Callithrix jacchus: one gene and its partners. The protein of the gene in region 2 interacts with the protein of the main gene of each other region in a biochemical or structural test. Links are inferred from orthologs where the notes say so. Each region holds a gene or a part of one and is shown on either strand. Other genes may lie near its edges. The genes, in order: PARP1, RELA, ING4, GTF2B, RXRA, TLE5 and DPF2.

Evidence for each region.
Region 1: the proteins of RELA (region 2) and PARP1 form a complex in vitro, tested with the Homo sapiens proteins (2 studies listed by BioGRID). The link is inferred for Callithrix jacchus from reciprocal best matches to the Homo sapiens genes RELA and PARP1.
Region 3: the proteins of RELA (region 2) and ING4 form a complex in vitro, tested with the Homo sapiens proteins (3 studies listed by BioGRID, with this or other methods). The link is inferred for Callithrix jacchus from reciprocal best matches to the Homo sapiens genes RELA and ING4.
Region 4: the proteins of RELA (region 2) and GTF2B form a complex in vitro, tested with the Homo sapiens proteins (2 studies listed by BioGRID and IntAct). The link is inferred for Callithrix jacchus from reciprocal best matches to the Homo sapiens genes RELA and GTF2B.
Region 5: the proteins of RELA (region 2) and RXRA form a complex in vitro, tested with the Homo sapiens proteins (2 studies listed by BioGRID). The link is inferred for Callithrix jacchus from reciprocal best matches to the Homo sapiens genes RELA and RXRA.
Region 6: the proteins of RELA (region 2) and TLE5 form a complex in vitro, tested with the Homo sapiens proteins (2 studies listed by BioGRID). The link is inferred for Callithrix jacchus from reciprocal best matches to the Homo sapiens genes RELA and TLE5.
Region 7: the proteins of RELA (region 2) and DPF2 form a complex in vitro, tested with the Homo sapiens proteins (2 studies listed by BioGRID). The link is inferred for Callithrix jacchus from reciprocal best matches to the Homo sapiens genes RELA and DPF2.

The regions. Positions count from the first base shown.
Region 1 is NC_133520.1:22,865,382-22,868,881, forward strand, and holds part of PARP1 (poly [ADP-ribose] polymerase 1), read left to right. Parts: intron 1-1,518; coding exon 1,519-1,663; intron 1,664-3,469; coding exon 3,470-3,500. UniProt on the Homo sapiens protein: Poly-ADP-ribosyltransferase that mediates poly-ADP-ribosylation of proteins and plays a key role in DNA repair.
Region 2 is NC_133511.1:122,752,141-122,756,087, reverse strand, and holds the start of RELA (transcription factor p65), read left to right. Parts: upstream 1-1,147; 5' UTR 1,148-1,233; coding exon of another isoform or gene 1,234-1,240; 5' UTR 1,241-1,335; coding exon 1,336-1,372; intron 1,373-1,848; coding exon 1,849-1,875; intron 1,876-1,965; coding exon 1,966-2,117; intron 2,118-2,217; coding exon 2,218-2,366; intron 2,367-3,897; coding exon 3,898-3,947. UniProt on the Homo sapiens protein: NF-kappa-B is a pleiotropic transcription factor present in almost all cell types and is the endpoint of a series of signal transduction events that are initiated by a vast array of stimuli related to many biological processes such as inflammation, immunity, differentiation, cell growth, tumorigenesis and apoptosis.
Region 3 is NC_133510.1:20,839,024-20,841,990, forward strand, and holds the end of ING4 (inhibitor of growth protein 4), read right to left. Parts: coding exon 2,866-2,967; intron 2,698-2,865; coding exon 2,589-2,697; intron 2,343-2,588; coding exon 2,195-2,342; intron 1,310-2,194; coding exon 1,248-1,309; intron 1,159-1,247; coding exon 1,119-1,158; 3' UTR 501-1,118; downstream 1-500.
Region 4 is NC_133508.1:126,082,252-126,085,751, forward strand, and holds the end of GTF2B (transcription initiation factor IIB), read right to left. Parts: intron 864-3,500; coding exon 730-863; 3' UTR 456-729; downstream 1-455. UniProt on the Homo sapiens protein: General transcription factor that plays a role in transcription initiation by RNA polymerase II (Pol II). Involved in the pre-initiation complex (PIC) formation and Pol II recruitment at promoter DNA.
Region 5 is NC_133502.1:182,994,507-182,998,006, reverse strand, and holds part of RXRA (retinoic acid receptor RXR-alpha), read right to left. Parts: intron 2,976-3,500; coding exon 2,870-2,975; intron 653-2,869; coding exon 505-652; 3' UTR 1-504. UniProt on the Homo sapiens protein: Receptor for retinoic acid that acts as a transcription factor.
Region 6 is NC_133523.1:2,836,650-2,840,766, forward strand, and holds the start of TLE5 (TLE family member 5), read right to left. Parts: upstream 2,635-4,117; coding exon 2,608-2,634; exon of another isoform or gene 2,607-2,607; intron 1,766-2,606; coding exon 1,668-1,765; intron 1-1,667. Other genes in the region: uncharacterized protein LOC128930549, read left to right, coding at 2,633-3,448. UniProt on the Homo sapiens protein: Transcriptional corepressor. Acts as a dominant repressor towards other family members. Inhibits NF-kappa-B-regulated gene expression. May be required for the initiation and maintenance of the differentiated state.
Region 7 is NC_133511.1:122,421,575-122,425,074, forward strand, and holds part of DPF2 (zinc finger protein ubi-d4), read left to right. Parts: intron 1-2,958; coding exon 2,959-3,119; intron 3,120-3,500. UniProt on the Homo sapiens protein: Plays an active role in transcriptional regulation by binding modified histones H3 and H4. Is a negative regulator of myeloid differentiation of hematopoietic progenitor cells. Might also have a role in the development and maturation of lymphoid cells.

The DNA of each region.
Region 1 (3,500 bases), on a different chromosome or scaffold from region 2:
CAGTAAGCAATATGTGATCCCTTGTGTTTTATGTATCAATTACAGAACATCTGTACCTTTTTAAAGGGTATGTACATGCACGAGGCAAGTTTTCAGCGTGGCAGTACTTGCTGCTTATGCATCGAGGCTGTTGCCCCCAGGCACTTGGCCCACAGAATCAAGGCCAGCTCCCTAGCTTATCCTCAGAGCCCTGCAGCCTCTTTCTGCCACCCTCTTCCTCCTCCTCACATACCACTTTCCTCTCCTCACCCACCGCCAGTGTTGCTTATACTTTTTTTTAGTTGAGGCATTAAAGCAGAACTCATTCTTTTTAGGAGTACCTAGCAATAGGGCAGCTAGCCATGGTGCCCCACATCCCACCAGGTGCTACTCGGATGGCTGTGCTTAGGCAGTCTTCTGAGTCTTCAGTTCCCAGCAGGCTTAGCAGGTCACTGCCTCCAAGTATATGCTAGCATTCCCTGTCTTATATCACCTTAGCACGCCTCTGGCATAGCTTAGCTCCTGTGTTAAAGTTCACCTTTATAGACTGGGCACGGTGGCTCACGCCTGTAATCCCAGCACTTTGAGAAGCTGAGGTAGGTGGGTCACCTGAGATCAGGAGTTTGAGACCAGCCACCTGGCCAACTTGGTGAAACCCTATCTCTTAAAAAAAAAAAAAAGTTTACATTCATATAGCTGACTCTCAGTCATGAATGAGATACTTTCTCAAGGGCATAAACTGTCTTTTTAACCAAACTGTAATTAGTAGCACATATTAGGGTGGTCAGTGTGTGCTGGAAAGAATCTGTGACCTCTTATATCCAGCTGGCACCCTGAATGTGGGCACAGCTGGGAAGGGCAGTTTTTTCATTAGATGAAGACCTGGATCTTTCCCTGAGCCTCGTGTATTTGATATTTATTGAGTGATCGTTTAGAGCAAGGCCCCTTGTAAATCACTTGGAGTGAAGATTGAACTGTGCTGATGGAAGAATTTGTTGTGAATACTGTAAGGCTCTCTGCATTCATTTTCCCTTCTTCTAAAAAGGGAAGGGAATACTGTGATTTCCTTTTGGGTAATAATCTCCCAGTGCATATAGTGTTGGGGGTTTTGGAGTTCTGGAGTAGGTGTGTGACCCCACAGAGCCCCATTAACTCTTGAAGGGAACAACTCAACAATGAGGCCAGGTAGGCTGTATTCACACAGCAGTTCCAGGGGTGATTCCCTGGCCTAACTGTCCGCTGATTTGTTTTTAAGGGAAAGATTTTTCTCATAAAGCAGCCACAATACCAGCCCTACTATAAATGTAAAAATATCAGAAATAAATACTATAGCCCCAGTAATAGAATCTTTCATCCTAGAAGCCCCGCATTTTTCTATTGTTTGTTGTAAGAAGAAAAAACTAAAAAGAAAAGAGAAAACTCCATTGTAAGAAGTAAAAAAGAGATTATTTAATTTGGACAAGCCAAATCCTTTTTGGTCTATGGGGTGGTTGCTTCAAGGGAGAGCTGGCTTCTTAACTAAAACTAAATATTTTTTAGGAATTCCGAGAAATCTCTTACCTCAAGAAATTGAAGGTTAAAAAGCAGAACCGTATATTTCCTCCAGAAACCAGCGCCCCAGTGGCTGCCGCACCTCCGCCCTCCACAGCCTCGAAGCCTGCTGCCGTGAACTCTGCTTCAGCAGGTATAGCACGTGGGGCCCCAGTCTTAGAGCTGCTTTGCAGGAATCATTTGTCCACTATTTGATGGTGGTATGGAGCTGGTAAGAAAGTACCCTTCGGGGGTCTCTCTTTGCTGACCCCACCGTGGGGAAGCCTTGCCCTGCAGGGCTTTGACTTGTTACACGCCCAACCACAGCAAGGCAGGAGGATATTAAGACTATAACATCGGCTGGGAGCAGTGACTCACACCTGTAATCTGAGCATTTTGGGAGGCCAAGGCAAAAGAATTGCTTGATGCCGGGAGTTCGAGACCAGCCTGGGCAATATAGCGAGACCCCATCTCTACAAAAAGTCTTAAAATGTTCCAGGTGTAGCAGCTTGTGCTTCTAGCTCTAGATATTCAAGGAGGCTGAGGCAGAGGATTCCTTGAGCCTGGGAGGTAAAGGCTGCAGTGAGCTATGATTGCACCATTGCACTCCAGCCTGGGCACTGGATCTCTGAAAATAAAATAAGCATGGTAAAAAAGCAAACGACTCTTATTCTGGGATGCTAGGAGGGGGCTCCTAAGAAAGGCTGGGTCGACAGCCTTACCTGGAATAGCACGCAGGTCTCCTTCCTGACTACACTGCAGAGCAGCTTGCCAGGCCTCACTCTTTAGGCCATCTGGTGGGCCTGCCAGTCATCCTGGCCCTGGTGTGATGCTCGAGTCTCTGTTGTGTGCAGAGGGAGTTACGCCCCAAGCCAACCAAGACAGTGAGAGCAATGTGTTCTTTTGGCAGAAGTGACCTGCTGCTTATTTTCTCAGCGACATGTGGCATGGTCTAATGGTGAAGGTCACAGTTTGGTGGGTGGAGGATGAGGGTTCCGTCCTTGAACGTAAATCTGTTGTTGACCTCTGTTTCATATTCTGAGAGGGACCAGTGGTCACTGCAGTGTGTGTGTGTGGTCATCCCAAGTCCACTGTGCTGCTGGCAGCCTTGGGTCCAGGTGCCCACCTGAAGAGCTAGGTGGGGGCTGGCATTCTGACCCCTCCTTGGAGGGTTTCCTCCTCTGTTTTCCCCTGACTTGCAGTTCAGCACAAATCAATAATTTTGTTCTCTGGAGACCACACCAGTTTCAACTAAACTGTCAGTGTTAACTAGTTGTCTGCCTTTACAGGGAAGGCAGGAAGGACTTTTCTTTGCAGCATCTCCAGTTCTGGAAATGTGTCACTAGCACTGTTATTTGCTGTGAACAGAAGGCACACCTCTGTCCAGGCCTTTCTGGCCTGGGTCAGTGCATACCTGGCTGCTGCTTTTCGCCTAGAATCAGTTGGCTCACCTCAGTGTGATTGTGCTGGCCACTGTTTGGAGGGGCTATCGTAGACATGTCTTACTTTTAAAACGGGGTTAATTAATAAGAATTGCAATTTGTTTGGGAGGATAACAGAAGGAATTGGGGGGATCATGTGGAAGAACCCCCAATTCCTTCTGTTACCCTCTTCCCATCCCACTCCAGCCTCCTGGTCCCTCATCCACAGATGCAGCCTTCCTAGCCCGCCCATGGAGCTGACCTTGGGTAACCCCCACCTACCTGGTTCATGCCAGCAAGGCTGGCCTGGCCATGGATTGGCATTTTGTGGCTTGCTCCCTGCCCAGTCCTTTCTGTGTCAAGGGACATCTGTAGGTGCTCAGATGGCAGCTTGCTGTCCCATCCTGTTTTCTTCCAAGCATATTTTCATAGGCTTCCTCAGGAGCTCGCTGCTTGGCTCATCGGCTTCTCCACCTCCCCTTCCTGGGGAGCAACATCAGAGTTGGCCTTGCTGAATGATTTTGTCCTTTCATCCCCAGGTAAGCCGTTATCCAACATGAAGATCCTGAC
Region 2 (3,947 bases):
CGGGGTGCTAACTCTATTTTCACTTTTCTCTTCCTGTTTCTTCAGAGCCTGGGAAACAAGTCAGAATTTCCAATCTTTTCCAATTCCCACATGATTTCCTAATTTAAGACGAATTCAGAGAAAAAATAAAGTCTTTCTCCATCTGGAGAAGACTCCGCCCCCTGCAGTGGAGCATCCTCTTTCGGGGAGGAGGTGTGGGGTGGGGGTGCGCCAGCCCCAGCCCCGACACGTACGCGGTTTGGTCTTGGGGGCGATACCGGCACTGTGGGGGTCACATGACAGAATTAGTGGTCAGCCCTAGCTAGAGGTCCAGGGCAAACGCAGGGGTGGGCGGGGGCGTCGTGACTCTGCTGATTCAAGTGTCCCCTGGGGGTCCCGGACCTTCTGAGACAAGCGCCAGGCTGCGGAGACAAGGCTCCGGGGTTTACCCCCGGGCTCCTCCTGCTCCCACGGTCGCTCAGGGTCTAAAATGCAGTTCGGCTGCATCTTAAGCTGGCTCTTTAGCGTGAGAGGGGCGAGCCCTCGGCCAGCTCGCCGGCGGGAGGGCCTCGGTCGTCCCATCCGGGCTGCAGGCTCTGCAGAGCTAGTCTATACTGTCAGGCGAGGAGGCCCGGCCGCTCCCCTTCCCCAGAGCCGCATCTAGATTGGGGTGGCTAGGACATTTTAACGTGCTTCTGAGACAGTCACCACCGAAAGGCGCCTTTAGCGATCAGGAAACCCGCGTAGACTTCAACCACCTGGCCTTTGCGGGCGCAGAAGGCCAGGCTTGGCCTTTCCCTGCGCGGGACGGGTGGCCGCAGCCCAGCAGCCCTGGCTTAGCTCTAGACCCGGCCCAGAGTGACATCACCAACTCCACCGATCGCGGGAAGGGGCCCCGAAATCCCCTAAAAATAAAGTGAGTAATCGACGGACACGCCCTCCAGGTGGGGCCGGGACTCGGAAACTAGCCCAGCAGCCTGCCGCGCCAGCCTCTTCGTCCCCCGCGAGGCGCGCACTTGGCCCCGGCCCCCTGCGGCGGCTGTGCGCGCGGCCTCTTCGTCCTCCGCGCGGCGCGCACTTGCTCTCGGCCCCTGCGCCGGGCCGCCGCGGTGCAGCACGCAGGCGCGGCCGGATTCCTGGCAGTGACGCGACGGCGGGCGCGCGCGGCGCATTTCCGCTTCTGGCGAATGGCTAGGCTGTAGCGCCCGCCGCGGGCCCAGCTGCGACCCCGGCCCCGCCCCCGGGACCCCGGCCATGGACGGTGAGGTCGCCCTCTGACCCCGCGGGGTGGCCGCGCCGGGGCCGCCGGGGCTGTGGCGGGAGCCCCCGCGCCGCTTTCCGCCCCTTCTTGCGCTGATGGGCGCTGCGCAGGGAGCGGCCTGCCTGCTGGATGGTGGCGCGGGGCGGGGCAAGCGGGGAGGGATCTGACTCAGTTTCCCCTCTGGGTGGAGGGGAGGGCCTTAACTCAGTATCCTCCCTGGGTGGGACAGCGGAGGGAGCCTTGACTCAGTTTCCCCCCCACTGTCTATGGGGGCAGCTCTGGCTTCGTTTCCTTGTTAGGGAAGAACGCATCTGATTCAGTTTCCTCTCTGGACGGAGGTGGGGCGTGCCCTCCCCCAGTTTTCCTTATGAAAGGAAAACTAATTCAGTTGCCCTCGGGAGAGGAAGGATTCCTTACCCCGTTTTCTCTCAAGAAGCAGGTGTTTCTGGCTCCTTCTCCCCACCCTTTAGTTTCACCGCCTGTTCTAGGGAACGGGTCCTGACTCCGTTCCCCTGGGAGGGAGCCTGGCTTCTCTTCGTGGGGAGCAGATTCCCCCGGTGAGGATGGGCAGTGGGTGTGTGCTGACCCTGATCTCTCTCCCCTTTCAGAGTTGTTCCCCCTCATCTTCCCGGCAGGTAAGTGGCCCCCGCGGTGGTCGGGGAGGTGCTCCCTGGGGTAGGGCAGCGGGGGCAGCCACCTAATGGGTCTGCGGTGTCCCCTGGCAGAGCCAGCCCAGGCCTCTGGCCCCTATGTGGAGATCATTGAGCAGCCCAAGCAGCGGGGCATGCGCTTCCGCTACAAGTGCGAGGGACGCTCCGCGGGCAGCATCCCTGGCGAGAGGAGCACAGATACCACCAAGACGCACCCCACCATCAAGGTCAGCATTGAGCCGGGGAGTGCGGGGTAGGGACTGCGAGCCCCAGCCCTCTGTTTGGGAGTCAGGTTTGGATGTCTGGGCTTCTCTGTACTTTGGACAGATCAATGGCTACACAGGGCCAGGGACAGTACGCATCTCCCTGGTCACCAAGGACCCTCCTCACCGGCCTCACCCCCATGAGCTTGTAGGAAAAGACTGCCGGGATGGCTTCTACGAGGCTGAGCTCTGCCCGGACCGCTGCATCCACAGGTGAGCTCCCTGCAGTCTAGGAGGCCCAGCCTGAGGGGACAGGATGCGGGCTGTGAGGTAGACGCTACAGTGTTACTCCTTTCTGGACACAGGACAATTTCTCACTCCTTGCTCTGACATAGTTCTGCAAGTAAACTCCCTTTGTTTTAAAATTATCATTTATACCTCTACTCTAGCAGATAGGAGCTCTAGGGGATAGGGATGGGTCCCTAATCACTTCTGAATCCCTGACCCTGTAGCTGGAAGGGGTAGTCCGTCAGAGTCATGTCTCTTGTTTGAGAAAGAAAACCATTGAACCAGTACTCTCCCCGGAGTTGACATTACAGTTGACAGAGACAGACTATAAAAAAAATATACAGGCCAGGCGTAGTGGCTCATGCCTATAATCCTAGCACTTTGGGAGATGAAGGCAGGAAGATCTCTTGAGCGTAGGAGTTCAAGACTAGCTAAGGCAACATAATGAGACCTTATCTCTACAAAAAAATAAATTAGCCAGGTATAGTGTCATGTTCCTATAGTCCCAGCTACTTGGGAGGCTGAGGTGGGAGGACCACCTGAGGTGGGAGGCTGAGGTGGGAGGACCGGCTGAGGTGGGAGGACTACCTGAGGTGGGAGGCTGAGGTGGGAGGACCACCTGAGCCAAGGAGGTCCTTGCTGCAGCAAGCTGTGATCATGTCACAGCATTGAAGTCTGAGTGACAGAGTGACACCCAAGTAAATAGCCTGGCACAGTGGCTCATGCCTGTAATCCCAGCACTTTGCGAGGTTGAGGTTGGCGGATCATCTGAGATCAGGAGTTCGAGACCAGCCTGACCAACATGGTGAAACCCTGGCTCTACTAAATACAAAAACTTAGCCGGGTGTGGTGGTGCACACCTGTAATCCCAGCTACTTGGGAAACTGAGGCAGGAGATTGGCTTGAACCTGGGAGGCGGAGGTTGCAGTGAGCCAAGATTGAGCCATTGCACTCCAGCCTGGGCAACAGAGTGAGACTCTGTCTAAAAATACATAAACAAATAAAATATGAATAAATACACAGATAAGTAAACAAGGTACTGTCAGAGTAATACTTTCAGTGCTGAAAATAAAACAAGGTCATAGGATGAAAGGATAACCTGGGGTCGGGGAGTGAGGGGAGCTAGTGTAATGACTAGATTGGGAGGTCAGGGAAGGCCTCCCTCTGCTACTGCTTGAATGGTGAGGAGGAGGAGAAAAGTAGGAAAAAGAACATTCCAAGCAGACCAAACAAGTGCTAAGACCTTGAAGTGGGAATGAGTGTCTTGTGTTAGAGAAGGGAAAGGAAGCCCCTATGGTGGTAAGCAGATGGCCCAAAGGGAGGCTGGCAGGGGCGGGGGCGCAGAGGTGCTTGTCAGCGGAGGGGAGGGACAGGGTTCGTTGCAGCATAGTGGGAAGCCACTGGAGGGGGTTAGGTATGGAGCGATGATCTGCGGGTGGGCAGGGGAGGAAGGAGCAGGCTGGGCAAGGCAGGAAGGTCCCAGCTCTGCAAGAGACAGGTGAGTGGGGGTGTTCAGTTTCCAGAACCTGGGAATCCAGTGTGTGAAGAAGCGAGATCTGGAGCAGG
Region 3 (2,967 bases), on a different chromosome or scaffold from region 2:
TACAAAAATTAGCTGGGCATGGTGGCTCGTGCCTATAGTCCCAGCTACTAGGGAGCCTAAGGCAGATGAATCACTTGAACCTGGTAGGTGGAAGTTTCAGTGAGCTGAGATCATATCACTGCACTCCAGCCTGGTGACAGAGCAAGATTCTGTCTCAAAAAAAAAATAAGGGAATAAATCAAGCTAATATTTGGTATAGTAGTACACATGTATAACAGAAATAAATCATTTATTGGAAATTAAGTGAAAGATGTTTTATGGAGAAAAGCTGTACAATTTACAAAGTTTTGGAGACCCCTGGTCTGAGGCCCACCCTTCAGCACCTCTGTCCTTCCCAAGTTGAGAACTTGTGGGTTCTCGGGCAGAGGCATCACTCTGGTTTCATGTCGGGTCCTAATTGTGGCATGCCATCATCTCACATTGTATCCAACCCAGAGGATGCAAAAAGAAGTGCTCGGCACATTTACTCAAACAATGTCTATACAATAAACACAGCAGGCCAACATGTATAGCTTTTATTTACCTACCCAAGTTCCTTTTACATGTGAGTTATCTGCATTCCACCTTGCCCCCTCTCCCATTCACAAGGCCAGGATGAATCCTCTCGGCACAGAGGAAGGGGTTCCCCTTCAACTACGGCCAGAGCCTAGATAACCTGGGGGATCCCCCACCATGAAAAAAGCAGGAAGGGAATGGAGAAGACAGTGTTGATCATACCTAGCCCTCACCACAGGAGGAGGGGGAATGAAGAGGTCTAGGGGACTGCCCCCATGCTATACCCCAGTCCTTAAGTACAAAGCAAGGGGAATGAAAAGGACCCTCCCTCTGAAATACAGCACCAACCTCAGCATGGAGGCAAAAGGACAGTGGGCAAGACCACGTCCCTTTGAAGGGAGAGGACTGAAGGAGAGCACATACCGTTAGTGGCTGCAGCACCCCTCCCTACCAGGGTTTGATGCAGCCTCAGCACCGGGAGTGGGGAGAGGGGAGGAGAAGGGATGACAGTACTGTGCCATCCACTTCTCCCTGAACCCCTGGCCCCAGCACAGGCATTCCTCTGCCCACTAGCCCAAGTCAGGGGATGTGGAAGAAACTGTGTCGGAATCCAGGGCCCTTATCTATTTCTTCTTCCGTTCTTGGGAGCAGCGTGGGCAAAACCTGAAAAACAGAAGGGGAGAGAAAAGTAAGTGAAAGGGAGAATGCCCTCTACCACTCACCTTAGGGACCCTCCAACCCCTGCTACTTACCATTTCCCCCGAGGCTTGGTTGTCAGCCCCACACAGGCAAAATGGAACCACTCAATGGAACACTGGAAGAGGAAGAAGGAAAACGTAGTCAGGGGCCAGGATGGGCCAGAGGAAGGAGAGAAAGCCCCTCCAGATTCCTTAGGTATGTCCTGTCCTTTACTCCATCCTTTTGGAGAGTTCTTGGAAGCCCCAAGGCCAACCAGTTCCCACCATTTTCCTTGAATTCTTTTTTTTTTTTCCTTTTTGAGATGGAATCTCACTCTGTTGCCAAGGCTAGAATGCAATGACCATCTCAGCTCATAGCCACCGCCACATCCCAGGTTCAAGCAATTCTCCCACCTCAGCCTCCTGAGTAGCTAGGATTACAGACACACGCTGCCACGCCTGGCTAATTTTTGTATTTTAAGTAGAGACTGGGTTTCACCGTGTTGGCCAGTCTGGTCTCAAACTCTGACCTCAAGTGATCCACCCTCCTCGGGCTCCCAAAGTGCCGGGATTACAGGCATGAGCCACCGAGTCAGGCCTTTTCTTCTTCTTCTTCTTCTTTTTTTTTTGAGACAGAGCCTTGCTGTGTTGTCCAGGCTGGAGTACTGTGGCACGATTTCAGCTCACTGCAACCCCTGCCTCCCAGGTTCAAACGATTCTCCTGCCTCAGCCTCCCGAGTAGCTGGGATTACAGGTGTGTGCCACCACACCCAGCTAATTTTTGTATTTTCAGAAGAGAAGGGGTTTCACTATGTTGGCCAGGCTGGTCTCGAACTCCTGACCTCAAGTGATCTGCCTGCCTTAGTCTCGCAAAGTGCTGGGATTTCAGGCGAGAGCTACCATGCCCAGCCCGTCTTCCTTCTAGTCTGAAGTCCCAGTACTCAACTGTGGGATTTTCCCTCTTGTACCCGCTCCCTTCATGCCCCTCACAACCCCCCATCCTGAGGCAAAATGTTTCTCACATCAGGGTTGTCACAGCCAATCATCTCTCCATAGGAGACCTGGTGACAAAGGCAATAGGTGGGTTCGTTGGGATCCACAGGCATATCCAACACATCAGAGGGGTGGACACTGCCAAAGGTCACTGAGGGCATCCCATACTCAGGACTTCTGCATGCCAAGAGGAAGAGAAAGTGTCATCTACAGGAAGGGAAGCTAAAGCCTGAGGCTTTCAGAGGTGGCAGGAGATCCTGGTGGGGCAAATGATTTGTGGCTTCTCTTCTCCAGCAGATACCAACATGATAAGAAGAGTTCTTGGCAGAGATACAGAAAGTGGCAGGGGGCAGTGCAGGCTGGAAGTGGGGCACTGGGAGAGAAGGGGACGTCATCTGGCAAAGGGCTCCCTGATACACTCACGTGCGCACGAGCTTTAACTTCTTCTGGGCAGTCTTGGGGGCTTCTTCATCTGAGTTTTTCCCTTTGGAACGAGCACGAGCAGCTTTCTTCTCCTTTTGAGTCCGGCCTTCTAGGGAAGAGGGGGAAAGCCAGAAGGCAGGGAGACAGAAAGATGAGTTAAGTCCTCTTCTCTTCCTCTCTTTCCAACCTGTTGCCCCACTCCCCACCAGATGAAGAGCTGGCGTCTTCTCTCATTGAATCCTCGCCCCAACTCTCACAGCCCCGCCCCCCTCCTCACTCTTTTTGCCTTTGCTGGAAGAGCTGTCATAGTCACTTGATTCAATCTGTTTCTCCTTGAGATCAGCCTCAAAACGGGCCAGGTCTGTGTCCAGCCGCCGAA
Region 4 (3,500 bases), on a different chromosome or scaffold from region 2:
GAGCGTACCAGTAAGCATAACAAAGAATAAAAAAGAACCAGAGACATGCAGCTTCTACATTAGATTTTAACATCCAGAAATTAAAATCTGTTGATCTGCTGCTACTATTAATTTACCAGCATCTTCTCTGCTCAATAAGCTGAGAAAATCACATATTTAGAACATTTTAATCTCTCAATCTGGTACCTTTCAAGGTCCAAGCTCATCACTTTTTGTTTAATAATATACATATTAATAAATCTCACATACACATCCTTTCAAACTAGAAACTAAATATGTTGATGTTAACAATCGTTCTCAAAAGCTTTTGCTCTTTCCATGTATTTATTTAAAAAAACTGTATATATAAGAAAAATAATGGAAATCAAGAACCTCTATCAGCTTTATTAGCTGCAATGATTTGCATTATTTGCAATTATGTATAAGTTACAAGTAACATGTAATTATAACAAAACTTTAGTTTGAAAAATGTTTTATTCAGGAATTACATACTTTCAAATATCTTCCAAAATAGTTTCCTAGATTGCTACAAAAGAAATCTGATAAGAAATTTAAATCATTAAATATGTTTTACTACTATATACATACAGAATGCCAAGCAATAGTAGTCAGCCCTGGAATGCGTACCGTCTTGTTCTTCCTCACGAAAGGCTTGACCCATCATTTTGTATAGGCTATGTACAATAGGCAAAGTTCTGTATTCATGAATTTGACTTTAGCTGCCTCAGTTTATAGCTGTGGTAGTTTGTCCACTGGGGTGTCAAATTTGAAGTCTGTAGGAAACAGATCTGGGGCTCGAGGATAGATAAGTCTGTAGGACTGTCTGATTGTAACATCAGCAACACCAGCAATATCTCCAATTTCTAAAAGACAAAAATCAAAACATTAACTGTCACTTCCATCCTACCTCCTTTTTACTACCTGCATTGTAATTTGTGAGATATGACAGTAAAAAGTGCCAAACTTAAAGATAAAACCGGAAGTGCTAATTTCTAAAAACTAATAATGGAAATACATACTAAAAGGTGGAAAGTGGGAGCTAAAGTTAGTAACAATAAAAATGGTACAAGTAGTTACTACTTTACAGGGCTGTCAATGTTTTAAAGGGTTTAACTAATATAAAACATGAAGCCAGGCGCAGTGGCTCACGCCTGTAATCCCAGCACTTTGGGAGGCCGAGGCGGGTGGATCACGAGGTCAAGAGATCAAGACCACCCTGGTCAACAAGGTGAAACCCCGTCTCTACTAAAAATACAAAAATTAGCTGGGCATGGTGGTGCGTGCCTGTAATCCCAGCTACTCAGGAGGCTGAGGCAGGAGAATTGCTTGAACCCAGAAGGCAGAGGTTGCGGTGAGCCGAGACCGTGCCATTGCACTCCAGCCTGGGTAACAACAGCGAAACTCCGTCTCAAAAAACCAACCAACCAACAAAAAAAATGTGAATAGTCTTCATATCTTAGCACTAGGGGTGTTATATTATACTGGATATCATATTTAGAACTGCTCCTTTTTCTTTATAAATCTTTCTGAGGATTACAAAAGTACTCCACAGATACATTATTGTAAAGAAATTCACTTTATATTTCTGTGTTTGAAAGCTCCCATGTAAAATCTCCCCTCGCTAACTTCTGTTAAAAGGTCCTTATTAAAAACAAAATGTGACACTATAAATATTGTTCTATAATTTTTTTCTATGTAATACATCAGAGATCAACAGCTATTTATTAAACCATATGTACATTTTTAGATTTTTTTCACTGATACAAGCACATACTTAAGCAAGTATTTTGAGCTCACATGAACATTTCTTCTGTTATAGAATCCTAACAGATCTACTTTTACCCTTTAAAGTCACTATCCCTTTTTTCCTTTCAAAGTCATTAAAAGAAATAACAAAGGACTGCCACTAAAATATCTGGTTAAGTATTATGAATGCTTTATTAAAATGGATTTTTAAACATCATTTATTTATTTAGAGATAGAGTCTCACTCTGTCACCCAGGCTCACTACAACTTCTGTCTCCCGGGTTCAAGAAATTCTCCTGCCTCAGCCTCCTGAGTAGCTGGGATTATAGGCACCTGCCACTATACCCAGCAAATTTTTGTATTTTTAGTAGAGATGAGGTTTCACCATGTTGCCCAGGCTGGTCTCAAACCCCTGACCTCAGGTGATCCACCCGCCTTGGCTTCCCAAAGTGCTGGGATTACAGGTGTGAGCAACCATGCCCAACCTAAACATATTTTAATACAAACTCATTTTACCACCTTTTCAGTTGATTCAAATCAGTGAGATTCTAGTGATTTTCACTGTGAATGCTTCCCATCACTGTGCAATTAGCTAATTTTAAATTTCTTTATCTCACTGCATTATTCTAGATCTAAATACCAATAAATGCCAACAATTTGACTGTCAATTGCCTGCTGTGCAGGGAAGAAAAGGACCTTAAATTCAAAGATATTTCATATAAAGCTAAAAAGCAAAAAGCACCAGGATTAATGTTTTTGTGTTGCTCATTAGAATAAACTTTACAACTAGGAATGTGCCTCAAGAACCAACTGTCTAGCTCCGAGTTCTCAATTTTATTAAAGATTCAAAATTTCCTTAAAACATGAGTGAAGGCCAAAGGGAATGGACAATGGCTCATTTAAGTAACTAATGATTGCCTTCCTTTCTCTAATTATTCCTCTGTATCATTTATGACTTTTATCAACATATAGCCTAAGCTGAAGGCTGCTGTGAATAGGATATTACAAAGTTATTGAGGCCAGCAATTCACTAACTCATTTTTTTGTGTGTTTTGAGACAAGAGTCTCTCTGTCTCCCAGGCTGAAGTACAGTGGTGGGATCTAGACTCACTGCAACCTCTGCCTCCCAGGTTCAAGAGATTCTCGTGTTTCAGCCTCCTACAGGTGTGCACCACTGTGCTTAGTTGATTTTTGTATTTTTAGGAGAGACGAGATTTGACCATGTTGGCCAGGCTGGTCACTGCACCTAGCTTGTGAATTTCTTTACATGCATTTGCTCATGAATAATTTCTATAAACCTCAAAGATTTGGAAAGGAGTAGTCACTTCTAAATTTAAAAGGGAGTCTTTGGGCCAGGCGTAGTGGCTTGTGCTTAAAATACCAGCACACTGGGAGGTGGAGGTGGGCAGGCGAGTCACGAGGCCAGGAGTTTGAAACCAGCCTGGCCAACATGGTGAAACCCCATCTCTATTAAAAATCCAATAATTAGCTGAGCGTGGTGCCACGTGCCTGCAGTCCCCGTTATTCAGGAAGTTGAGGCACGAGAACCGGAAAACTGAGACACGAGAATAGCTTAAACCCAAGAGGTGAAGGTTGCAGTCAGCTGAGACTGTACTACGCCCTCCAGCCTGGGCAACAGAGCAAGACTGTTTAAAAAAAAAAAAAAGGAAAAACAAAAAGAAATCCACTTAATACTTCTGGTGAAAGTTTTCCTACAACACTAAATTCAAACATGGTTTTAGAAGGCTATTTAC
Region 5 (3,500 bases), on a different chromosome or scaffold from region 2:
GACGAGCCAGCCTGTGCCCCCAGCTGTCCCCTCCTCCTGATTAAGGGGAGCTGTCATGGGCAGGCGAAGACGTCACTCCAGACAGGAGGGCCACCCGGGAATTCTGAAAACCAGCATCGCTCAACAGCAATGGGAACCGAGGCCCTGTTCCCAACTCCTGCAGCTCCTGGGCCCGGAGCCAGGAGACCCCTGTGAGCCACCCAAGCCCCGTGGGGTGTGGCAGAGTGTCCCGAGAGCCCGGTGGGGAGGCGCCTGGCTGGGCTCATTCTAGTTCTTGCCACTCAGGCTGCCGCCTCAGGAAAGCCACTGCCCTGGGCCACAGACAAGTAGTAACAGAAATAAGGAGGTGACAACACATCTCTTAGGCAGAGCAGTGACAGGCTGCGCCCCAAAGTCCAAACAGGCCAGGCAGAGAAGGGCAGGGTCAGGGCTCAGGCTGAGAAGAGCAGCTGCGTCCAGGCGGAGTGGCCGGACTGGGCGGGTGCGAAAGATGGGCCCGCAGGCCTAAGTCATTTGGTGTGGGGCTTCCAGCATCTCCATGAGGAAGGTGTCGATGGGCGTGTCCCCAATGAGCTTGAAGAAGAAGAGATGTTCCAGGCACTTGAGCCCAATGGAGCGCAGAGCCGGCAGGCGGAGCAAGAGCTTGGCGAACCTGCAGGGAAGGGGTCCGGTGAGGGCCAGGCAAGGGGCACAGGCAGTACTGTTGTGGCACCTGGAGGCCTCCCTGGGGATGGGGCTGTGTCTGACAGCCCAACCTCCCTGAAGCTGGTCTGTAGCCCAGGGCCTGTCTGTGCCAAGCCCCCAGAAGGAAGGAGGGGAGGCTAGAAGCAAACAGGCGGCGGCAGCCAGAGCCAGGAGAGTGAAGGGAGATCCCTGGGGCCGAGGACAGAGAGGAGGGGTGGGGCCAGACAGCGGCGGGTGGGGGCCCGCTGAAGAGCTTCAGTAAAGGAGTTAAACATTGTGGGCGGCTGGGTAGCTCACACTCGTAATCTCAGCACTTTGAGAGGCCAAGGTGGGAGGACAGCTTGAGCCCAGGAGTTCAAGACCAGCCTGGGTAACACAGTGAGACCGTGTCTCTACACAACAAAAAGAGAAAAAAAGTAGCTGGGCCTGGTGGTGCACGCCTGCAGGGAGGCCCGCTTGAGAGCCGACTGTGGAGGCTGCAGTGAGCTACCACCGCACCACTGCACTCCAGCCTGCGCGACAGAGCAAGACTGTGTCCTAAAAAATGAAAAAATGTGGGCCACAGGGACCGTCAGCGGGATTTGCAGCAGGGGAGAGTTGCAGGAGTGGACGTATCAGCATCTCCTCCAGCTTCTGTAGCCGTCCCAGCAAGAGACAGCAAGGCCTGTGAGGGAAAGGGGTGCTGAGCACACTGGTGAGTGGCAGGAATGGGCAGGGCACTGGATAGGCAGTCAAGAAGTCAAAGGGCATGGGGGGTGGTGTTCGGGCTGCGCCCCCACTGCAGGGGGAGCCAGGCCTGACCTGGGAGCCGTGTACCAGGCAAGCCCCTTCCCATAAAGTGTCAGCACCCCGTGAGTGTCTCCCCAGCACACCTCATGCAGCACTGCGGGCACCAGACCAAGGGCCACCTCTTCAGCAGAAATAGCTCTTCTGGAGTTGGGCACAGCATGGTCAGAGAAGACTGGCAGGGAGGGAGGCACCATGCGTTGCTCCTCAGGGCCCGGCCCACCCCTGGGGAGTTTCCTGGGGCAGGGACCAGTGCGGAGGCAGGGGAGAAGTCTGGGGCTCTGGGAAGGGGTGCAGAGGGCCAGGCATGAGGGCAACAGCTACCACAGAGGACAGGGTGCTGTGGAGACAGGGCCAGGTGTCCCTCCCGGCTGCCCATGTCTGCCCCAGGGCCCACCTGGGTCTCTCCACACAGCCCCACCAGGGGCTGCAGAACCTCATTAATTATTAACGAAGTCTTTATTTCAGGGAAAAGCTCTGTGGTTGGCTGCCTCACAGTTCTTGTTTTAAAGGCAAAAACAACGCAGAGGCTGGAGTTGGGCCAGAGAACAAGCTGTTTTCTGCTGAGCTGGCGAGATGGGCCAGGGCAGAGAGCCAGGAAAAACAAGCCGCCTGCCACCCCCTCCTGTCCTCGTCCTCCGGGAAGTTTCACTTTAAACCAAGCCAGATGAGGGCCGAGCAGGCAGTGGGGACACGGTTAACTGTGTATGTGCCGGTGGCGCCAGGGCCTGGGTGTCCTACGGGTTTGGGGGCCCCCCTCACCCCACTCCTTGCCCACAGTCTGAGGATCAAGAGGCCGGGAGAAGCCTCTTTAGAGAGAAGGGGCAGACTCTGGAGAGCTGACTCTGAATCCCAGGAATCCACAAGTTTCTCTTCCTGGACACCTACTGCGCACCCAGCAACGTGGACTTGGAGATGAGAGGCTCCCAGCCCTTCTGGGGCCCACTGCCGGGTGGGGGGAAAATGAACTCCTCCAGGGGGCCATGGTCACCTATGCTGTACACACTTGTAGAGAATGTTTATTACGTGTGAACATCAGGCCATCTAGGCTACACATGCTTGTGAAGTACCTACTGTGTGCTGGTGTCGCCTGGCCTCTGGTGGTTCTGCTTGGCAGGGGACTGGGTGGGGGTTGAAGCACAGCCTTCATCTACCTACTAGAAAAAGACAAGCACCTACTACGCTCCAGGTCTGAGGTAATCCTTCCAGCAGGGATACATACGGCGTGAACCTGTGGGTCATGCTCACCACGGCCACTGGCCCGGAGCCTGCTCAGGACCTACTGCCCAGGACTGGGCCTGGGGAGGCTGCCACCTTCTCATTCACATAAAACAGCCTTGCAGAGGGTGGGGGCTCTGGAGACAGCCCGGATCTGGGGTCTGTGGGGGGCGGGGCCCACCTTCCCGGCTGCTCTGGGTACTTCTGCTTGCAGTAGGCCTCCAGGGATGCATAGACCTTCTCCCTTAGCGCCTCCACCTCGGCCGGGTTCGAGAGCCCCTTGGAGTCTGAAAGGAGGAGAGGCCACAAGTCAGAACCCTCAGCTGGGGCACATCCTGGGCACCTGCCCTCAGGACCCAGGCCTGTGTAGGGTCTCCCAGGCTGTGGCACGTCCTGGGCACCTGCCCCCAGGACCCAGGCCTATGTGGGGTCTCCCAGGCTGCCCTGATATGGGCAGAGCAGGTGGTGTGAGGGATGCCACAGGACATGAACCCAGAGCCCACTGGCAGGGAGCGAGTGTGGAACCCGAGGCCAGGCCAGGCTGCTCTGGGCCCAAGCCCGGCTCTGCCACTTGCCAGCCATGTGACCTTGGGTCAATCATTCGCCCTCCAGAGACTTGTGTCCGGAACCTGCTGCTTTCAAGCTGCCGCAGGGACTGACAATGGACGCCTCTGCTGCCCTTGGGTCCCAACCCTGTAACACGGATGGGCACTACCAATGCCCCCCAGGAGCACCTGGAGTCCCCAGAAGCCACCCTCAGGATGCTGGAGAGTGCTGAGCTCAGGCCCCAGAGTAAAGAGCCTAGAGCGAAC
Region 6 (4,117 bases), on a different chromosome or scaffold from region 2:
CAACATGGCGAAAGCCTGTCTCTACTAAAAATACAAAAATTAGGAGAGTGGTGGCGCGTGCCTGTAATCCCAGCTACTTGGGAGGCCGAGACAGGAGATCACTTGACCCAGGAGGCGGAGGTTGGAGTGAGCCGAGATTGCCCCTCTGCACTCCCGCCTGGGCGACAGCGTGAGACTTGATCCGGCCACCCAGGGGCTGTTATGCCTTGAACATCCAGTGTGTGCCTGATATGGCAGGGCTTTCTGGATAGCAGAAAGCCCAGGCCCAGCAGATGGAGACTCCAAAGCTCAGAGAGGGCGTCTGGCTTACTGGAGGTCACACAGCACTGCGAAGGCCATCTGATCTCTTCCCTGTGGAATCAGGTCAGCCCCAGGGCCCACCAGGCAGTCTCAAACCCTATGCTTCCAGGGACCCAAATAGAAGTTTCTGGGGCCTTCCTGGAAAGCTGGTTCCAGTGCTTTTGACTGTCGGGGTCTCAGTGTGCCCATCTTGAGAATGGGCACGACAGCCGGACCTCACGAGGAAGCACATATGGTCTTTAGCACACAGGGAGTACCCCGAAAGTTTGGATAGTTTCAAAATCGAGATTCCCCTTTCTACTTGGAGGAAGTCCAGGGTCCCTCCAGGATGGGCAAACTGCAGTCAGGAGAGGGCCCCCAGGCTGAAACGTGGGCCTCAGCGTGGCCTGACTTCCTCCAGACTCCCAGGTCTGCTGCGCCCCTCCAGAGCAGGGCACGTGGGAATCTGCATCCTTACACCAGGAGAGAGACCTGGTGCCCACCTCAGCCTTGCCCCTTCCTCAGTGCTGTGGATACTAACCCTGAGGAAATCCCTGACCTCTCTGGGCTTAAGCTTCTTTCTTTTGTTTTCTTTTTTTTTTTTTCTGAGACGGATTCTCACTCTTGTTACCCAGGCTGGAGTGCAATGGCGCGATCTCGGCTCACCGCAACCTCCGCCTCCTGGGTTCAATCAATTCTCCTGCCTCAGCCTCCCGAGTAGCTGGGATTACAGGCACGCACCACTGTGCCCAGCTAATTTTGTATTTTTAGTAGAGACGGGGTTTCACCTTGTTGACCAGGATGGGCTCGATCTCTTGACCTCGTGATCCACCCGCCTCGGCCTCCCAAAGTGCTGGGATTATAAGGGTGAGCCACCGCCCGGCCTGGGCTTACATTTCTTTAAGAGGACTCAATAGTTCCCTCGCCTTAGACCAGCTACATGGCAAACTCTTCAGAAAGGTCAGATTTCTGAAAGGAGAAGCACCTTGGAGAACGTGATGGGCGCTGGGAACCCTTTCTCCAAAACTGGCCAAAGACAGACATAACCAGGTTACAAAATGTGTTTTGGGGTTGGGGGGATGGTGAGTCCAGGCTCTAAGCTGGTTGGCGCAAGGTCTTTTATCCAGCGGGGGGTGGGGGGGGGCTTGGGGGAGACTGGGGAGGAGGGAGGGACTCTGAAGTCACACAGGTGGGTCTTTGGGCAAATTATTTAACTTTTTTGTGCCTCGGTTTCCTCCTCTACAAACTGGGGCTGTTTAAAGAAAGGAATTCAGTATTTGTCAAGCGATTCGGTCGGAGCCTAGCACACGTTATTTTCCCAATCTGCCGTCCGTGCAGAACAAGGGGGCTCACCCTCTCGGGCGCAGGGACCCCGACCCGCCCCTCACCTGTGGTACTGAGCTTGCAGGAGCTGAAACTCGTCTTTGATGCGGTCGCAGGAGTCCGAGGTGGTGAATTTGAGTTGCTGGGGTAGGTGCGAGGAGCCCTGTGGGGAGGGGGGCGCCCCGGTCAGGCCCAGGCGTGGGCCAGGCCCCCCTCAAGGGCGGGCCAGGAGGGAGCGGCCGCGCAGCTGCGGCGCCCCCCCTCCTGCCCCACTTCCTGGGCCCGTGTTTACCGCCCCTGGCAAGGCCCCCACCCGCGCTTCCTGCCCCCGCCTCTCCCCGGGGGAAGCTGAGGGGGTGGGTGCGCCCGGAGCCGCCCCGTCCCCCGCCACCCCCAGGCAGTGGGGGGTGCGTTTTAAGGCCCGCCCTAGGTGGGGGGCAGGGTACGCCCTCTACCGCCCCTCCAAAGCGCCGGGAGTGGGTGCCTCCGAGGGGGGTGGAAACGCGCCCTAGGGAGCCCCCTCCCCAAGTTGAGGGGCAGCGAGTCCCCCCTGCAAAGTCCCCTTGGGGAAGGGGGTCTCTCTCGGCGCCCTAAATCTTCCGGGGGGGAGCCCACCCCAGAATCCCAGCGCCCTTCCTCGGGGACGCGCTCTCTTCCGGGAGGGGGGACGCCTCGGATTGTCCCCCCCACCACAGGCCCCCAAAGGAGCCCCGCGCTGGAGGTGCCTGGCGGGGCTCCCGGAGATCCCCAGGCCCGAGGCCAAGGCCGTCCGAGGCCCTGCCTGTCCCGGCGGGCGGGGGGGGGGGCGCCAAGCCGGGAGCTGGGGGGGGGTTCGGGGCCCGGAAGCTGGGGGAGAATCGGGAACTGAGGGGGTGTCCGGGGGTCGGCGGCAGGACGGGGGTCGCGCGGGGCTCGGAGCCCGAGAGGGAAGCCAGGGCCCGGGAGCTGGGGGGGCGCGGGGCGGGGGCGCGGGGAGGGGGCGCCGGGCGGGCGGGCCCCGCTTACCGAATGCCTGCTTTGTGGAAACATCATGTCAGTCGCGGCGGGGGGCGCGGGCTGCGCCCCGGCTGTGCGCCCCGGCTCGGGCTGCTCGGGGCGCCGGGCGGCCGCGCCTTTGTCCCGGCGCGGATCGGCAGCTCCCGGGGCCGCCGCCGCCGCCTCCCGCGCCCGGCCTCGCCCGCTTCCTGCGCCCCCTCCCCGCGCGCCCGGCCCCGGCGCGCCCCGGGCCCCGCTTCCTGCGCGCCCGGCGCCCCTCCCCGCCCCTCCCCGCCGCCCGCCTCCCCGCTCCCCGGCCCCACCGCTATTGTCTAATGGCGGCGACGCCGGCGGTGGCCGCGGCTCGGCTGCTGCGGAGGCTCCGGCTCCACCTGCCGCCGCCGCCCGTGCCCCGTGCGCGCCGCCGAGGGGGGGGACGCGCGCGCCCGGGGAGGCCTGCGGATCCCCACCCCGGCCCGCCTCCCCGGGGCCCGCCCGCCGCGGTGACCTTGGGCCCGGCGCGCCCCCGCCCCGGGCCGCGGCCCCCGCCACCCGCCCCAGCCTGGCGGCCGGCCTGGCCTCGGTTTCCCCATCTGTCAGAGAAAGGGACCCGGCTGCCCAGGTCGAAGCCGCCGGCCCTGCGGTGGCACGACCTGGACGCGTGCCAGGGACGTATTCTGTGACCTTGGCTCTGGCTGGGCGGTGGTTCTCGCCGGGCCTCAGTTTCCTCTTCTGCAGAAAGGCAGCGGTCATGCCGCCTTCCTCAGGGAAGCCATTCTTTGGACACCTTTATGGAGGGCCTGTGTGCCAGGCCCGGCTGCTCCAGGGCCCTGGGGTGGGTGGGGGGGGTACAAGGCCCCTGCCCTGGTGAGGTGCCTGGAGACAGACAGAGATAAATTCAGGAGCTGAATTCCCAGCAGGTCAGATGGTGGGGACGCCTCTGCGGGGAAAATCGGCTGGGACAATGGCGGGGTAGGAAGGTGCAAGGTTGAACAGAGGGCAGGGAGGGTCAGAGAGGGCTTCCTCCTCCACAAACGGACCCCAAGGAGCGAGAACAGGGGATGGGGGCAGTGCCAGTCAGAGGCAGGACGAGCAGGTGCAAAGGCCCTGGGGCAGGACTGTGCCTGGCACCAGGATGCCCGGGATGGAGGCAGGGCCTGGGCCTGGGGCTTCATGCTGTTGCCCAGGCCCCCTGCCCCCAGCAGGGCTTCTGCCTGGGTGAATCTTTACTGCTGCGTTTTGAAATTCCGAATCATTTTCGAACAAGGGGCCTTTCAGTTTTCTTTTGTACTGTGCCCTGCAACTCTGTAGCTGGTGACACAGGCCAGTTCCAAAAGGGCTTGTGGGCCTCGGGGAGTACAGGGCTCTTGCTCTGAGTGAGGTGGGAGCCCTGGAGGGCTGTGGAAGGAAGAGGGACAGGACCTGGTGGTTTTTTTTTTTTTTTTTTTTTTTTTTTTTTTGAGATGGAGTCTTGCTCTGTCACTCAGGCTGGAGTGCAGTGGCACGATCTTGGCTCACTGCAGCCTCTGCCTCCTGGGTT
Region 7 (3,500 bases), about 330 kb from region 2:
GTACTCCAGCCTGGGCAACAGAGCAATATTCTGTCTCGAGAAAAAAAAAAATCTTTTAAGGTTCTTACGAGGAGAGTAAAATAAAAGTATAGCTGTAGCTGCTGATTGGTTTTTAAACTTTCTATAGACAAGAGCTAGAGGCCGGCACAGTGGCTCATGCCTGTAATCCTAGCACTTAGGGAGGCCAAAGCAGGCAGATCATGAGATCAAGAGTTTGAGACCAGCTTGGCCAAAATGGTGAAACCCCATCTACACTAAAAATGCAAAAGTTAGCTGGGCATACTGGCGTGTGTCTGTAAGCTCATCTACTCAGGAGCCTGAGGCAGGAGGATCATTGGAACCTGGGAGGCAGAGGTTGCAGTGAGCTGTCATGCCACTGCACTCCAGCCTGGGCAAAAGACTAAGACTCTGTCTTAAAAAAAAAAAAAAAAAAAAAAAAAAAAGATCTAGAGAACAGTGCTAATTTAGCTTGACATTTCTTGCTTAGAGAGCGTTAAGTTTTTGTTGTTGTTGTTGTTTTGTTTTGTTTTGTTTTAAGAGATAGAGCCTCCCTCTGTTCCCCAGGCTGAAGTGCAATGGTGTAACCTTGGTTTACTGCACCCTCAGCTTCCTAGGCTCAAATCATCCCCTACCTCATTTCCCCCAGGGACTTCGTAGGACCACAGGTGTGCACCACCGTGCCTAGCTGATTTTTTTTTTAAAACATTTTGTAGAGATGAGATCTCACTATATTGCCCAGGGTGGTCTCTCACTCTTGAGCTCAAGAGATCCACCTGCCTTGTCCTTTCAAAGTGCTAGGATTACAGGTATGAGCCACTGTGCCCAGCTCCCTTAAGTTCTTAAGAGCTCACTCTCATTCTGTCTTGTTCTCTCTTCATCACATTCTCCCCACACATACACTTAAGTGTTTCGTTCCCAGCCCTTTACCCCCAAGACTGTTTGCCTTACCTTCTGAAATCCCACAAAGCTCACAAGAGCTTTGACAGAACATCTCTCATCCATTCCCCCAAAACTGTTTCCAGCCTCTTTGCTCTGACTTTGCAGCCCTCACCAGCCTGGCCCTTTCTTCCGTTTGACTTCCAGTGTCAGTATCAATTTCCATCAACAGAAACAAAGGAGCTGCCTTAGCTTGTTTATCCAGTTTTATTCTGTGTGGTGAAGATGTGGCCGCCTCCTAAAGACAAGCCCACAGAGGCTGCCTTCTTCATTCTGCTCTCCAGCACGAGATTCGTGTCTACCTCAGACTATAGTCATTACAGCTCACTGAATCATGCCAGGCTATATTTGAGATATTGCCATCTCTGCATGTGGTATGTGTATTTTTTACTTGCTGGGCACATGCTAAGCTATGCAGTGGTCTATTGTCTGCTCACTGAAGGCCCCCGTCACATTCCAGAGCAGGGTTGTTGGTGTGGCCTGAGTTACGGACATAAATCCTAGAGACTGAATCTGTTCAGTGTCTCATGTCCAGTCTTTTTCTCGTAAAATCGTGATATATCAAAGCTCATCTGGTCCACCCTCTTCAATCTATAGAAGCGTAACCAAGGTCCACCCGGGTTATCTAAATGTCTGTGTTCATCTGGTGACTTGCAGGCAAGCCAGGTCTACTCTCAAGTCAAGTCTGACTGTATCTCAGACATCTTCATGAGCATTGTGGATACTATGAGAAAGAAATCAGTTCTGCCCTCAGTTTAAGATTGATTGACGCCAGGTAATGTGACGCACACCTCTCTTCCTGGACACTTGGGAGGCTAAGGCAGGAGGATCACTGGAGCCAGGAGTTTGTGTCCAGCTTGAGCAACATAGTGAGACCGTGTCTGTTTAAAAAAAAAAAGGATTGCTCGAATGTAAGTGTAAATTGTTAGAGTTAGTTTAACCTCCATTACCAAAGTGCTTGTTAAACCCTGCGGTATGAGAACAGGATAGCTTCTCTCCATGCTTCTTAGAACCAGATAACTCCTGGCACTGTTCAGTTTTCCAGTTTTCCACTTAAAGGTTTACCCTTGATTCAGATTTCAAATTGTCTCTTGATACCAAGAAGATTCTTTCCTATATAATTTGGTTTTGTGAGCGTGGAGAAGAACCCCAAGATGGGCCTTAGAGCAAACAAGTTTCTGATCAGTAACGGTGCTCAGTAGAAGCTTCAAGGAACTTCAGGTACTTGTAGACATCTTCTGTAAATATAAAATTAATTAGCTGGTTAAAAACCTATTTCAAAATTCAAGAGATATAAAAAGGCATGTGGAAGGAAGTGGCCTAGTCACCCAGTTTTTCTCCCTGCAGACGTGTAGTTTCTTTTCCAGTTTGTTACATAAATGACAGCTGTCTTTGACACTTCTCAGCAGTGTGCCTTGCTTTGCTTTTTTCCCTAGTTAACTTGAGATTGTTCAATATCAGTATGTGAAGAGCTCCTTTGTTTCTTATGGGCAAATAGGATTTCATTGTATGGATTTTCCATACTTTACTGAATACATTTTAATAAGTTCCCTAGACCTTAATGAACTCTTTCCCTCTGGAACAGATCCTGGGGCAAGGATGTGGGTGCATGTAGTTTATTTGGGATGTGATTCTAGGAAGGAGAGAATAAGGAGGGACTGTCCTCTGCTTCTCAGCATCGTAAGGGTTAAGAGAAATAACACAGCACAGGGCTGGGCTTGCGAAACACACAGAGTGAAACGTTAGTTCCTTCCCCCGCTTTGGGGGGTTAGACTTAAGTCTGATTAGACATATGATGAAATCTGTGTTCCTGATGGTAATTTGCTTGAAAAGTAATTCCTCATGATGGCCTAGAAAAGGGGCTTGGTGTCCCATGAGGCAGAAGTGGAGGCAAATAGAGTGGAAGAGACAGCCTCCCAGTCCCTTGAGCCTTCTAGAGAAGCAGATGGCAGGGGAGAGGAATAGTTCAGCACCCCATACTCCCTCTCCAACACACACGCCCGATTTCTGTCTTCCTTGCAGCCTTGGGGAGCAGTACTACAAAGATGCCATGGAGCAGTGCCACAATTACAACGCCCGCCTCTGTGCTGAGCGCAGCGTGCGCCTGCCTTTCTTGGACTCACAGACTGGAGTAGCCCAGAGCAATTGTTACATCTGGATGGAAAAGCGACACCGGGGTCCAGGTGAGGGTCCAGACTTGGGAGAAGGGGACTTAGGAGCATAAGGAGGAAGAAGCCTCCTCGTCTTAGGTGATGAGACAGGTGATAGGGTTTTCCCTATTGCCTTCTGCCTTTAGATGAATATGGTCTTCTTGTGATTAGAAACCCAGGGAGGATGAAGCAGATAGGTTGATACCAGCATCTTTGTTTTCTGCCCTGCTGAGGCCTTTGTGTGTCTGGAGAACTATGTGTTAGCCAAGGCTCCTAAACTTATATATCTCTTTTTCTTTTCCACAGACTGTTCCACCCAACTCCCTAGGCCCTCAGTGTCAGAATTCCTCCCTTGCTCTAGAACTTAAAGTGGGGCCTACTTATTTAGAGTATTTGGTATTATTTTCTAATACT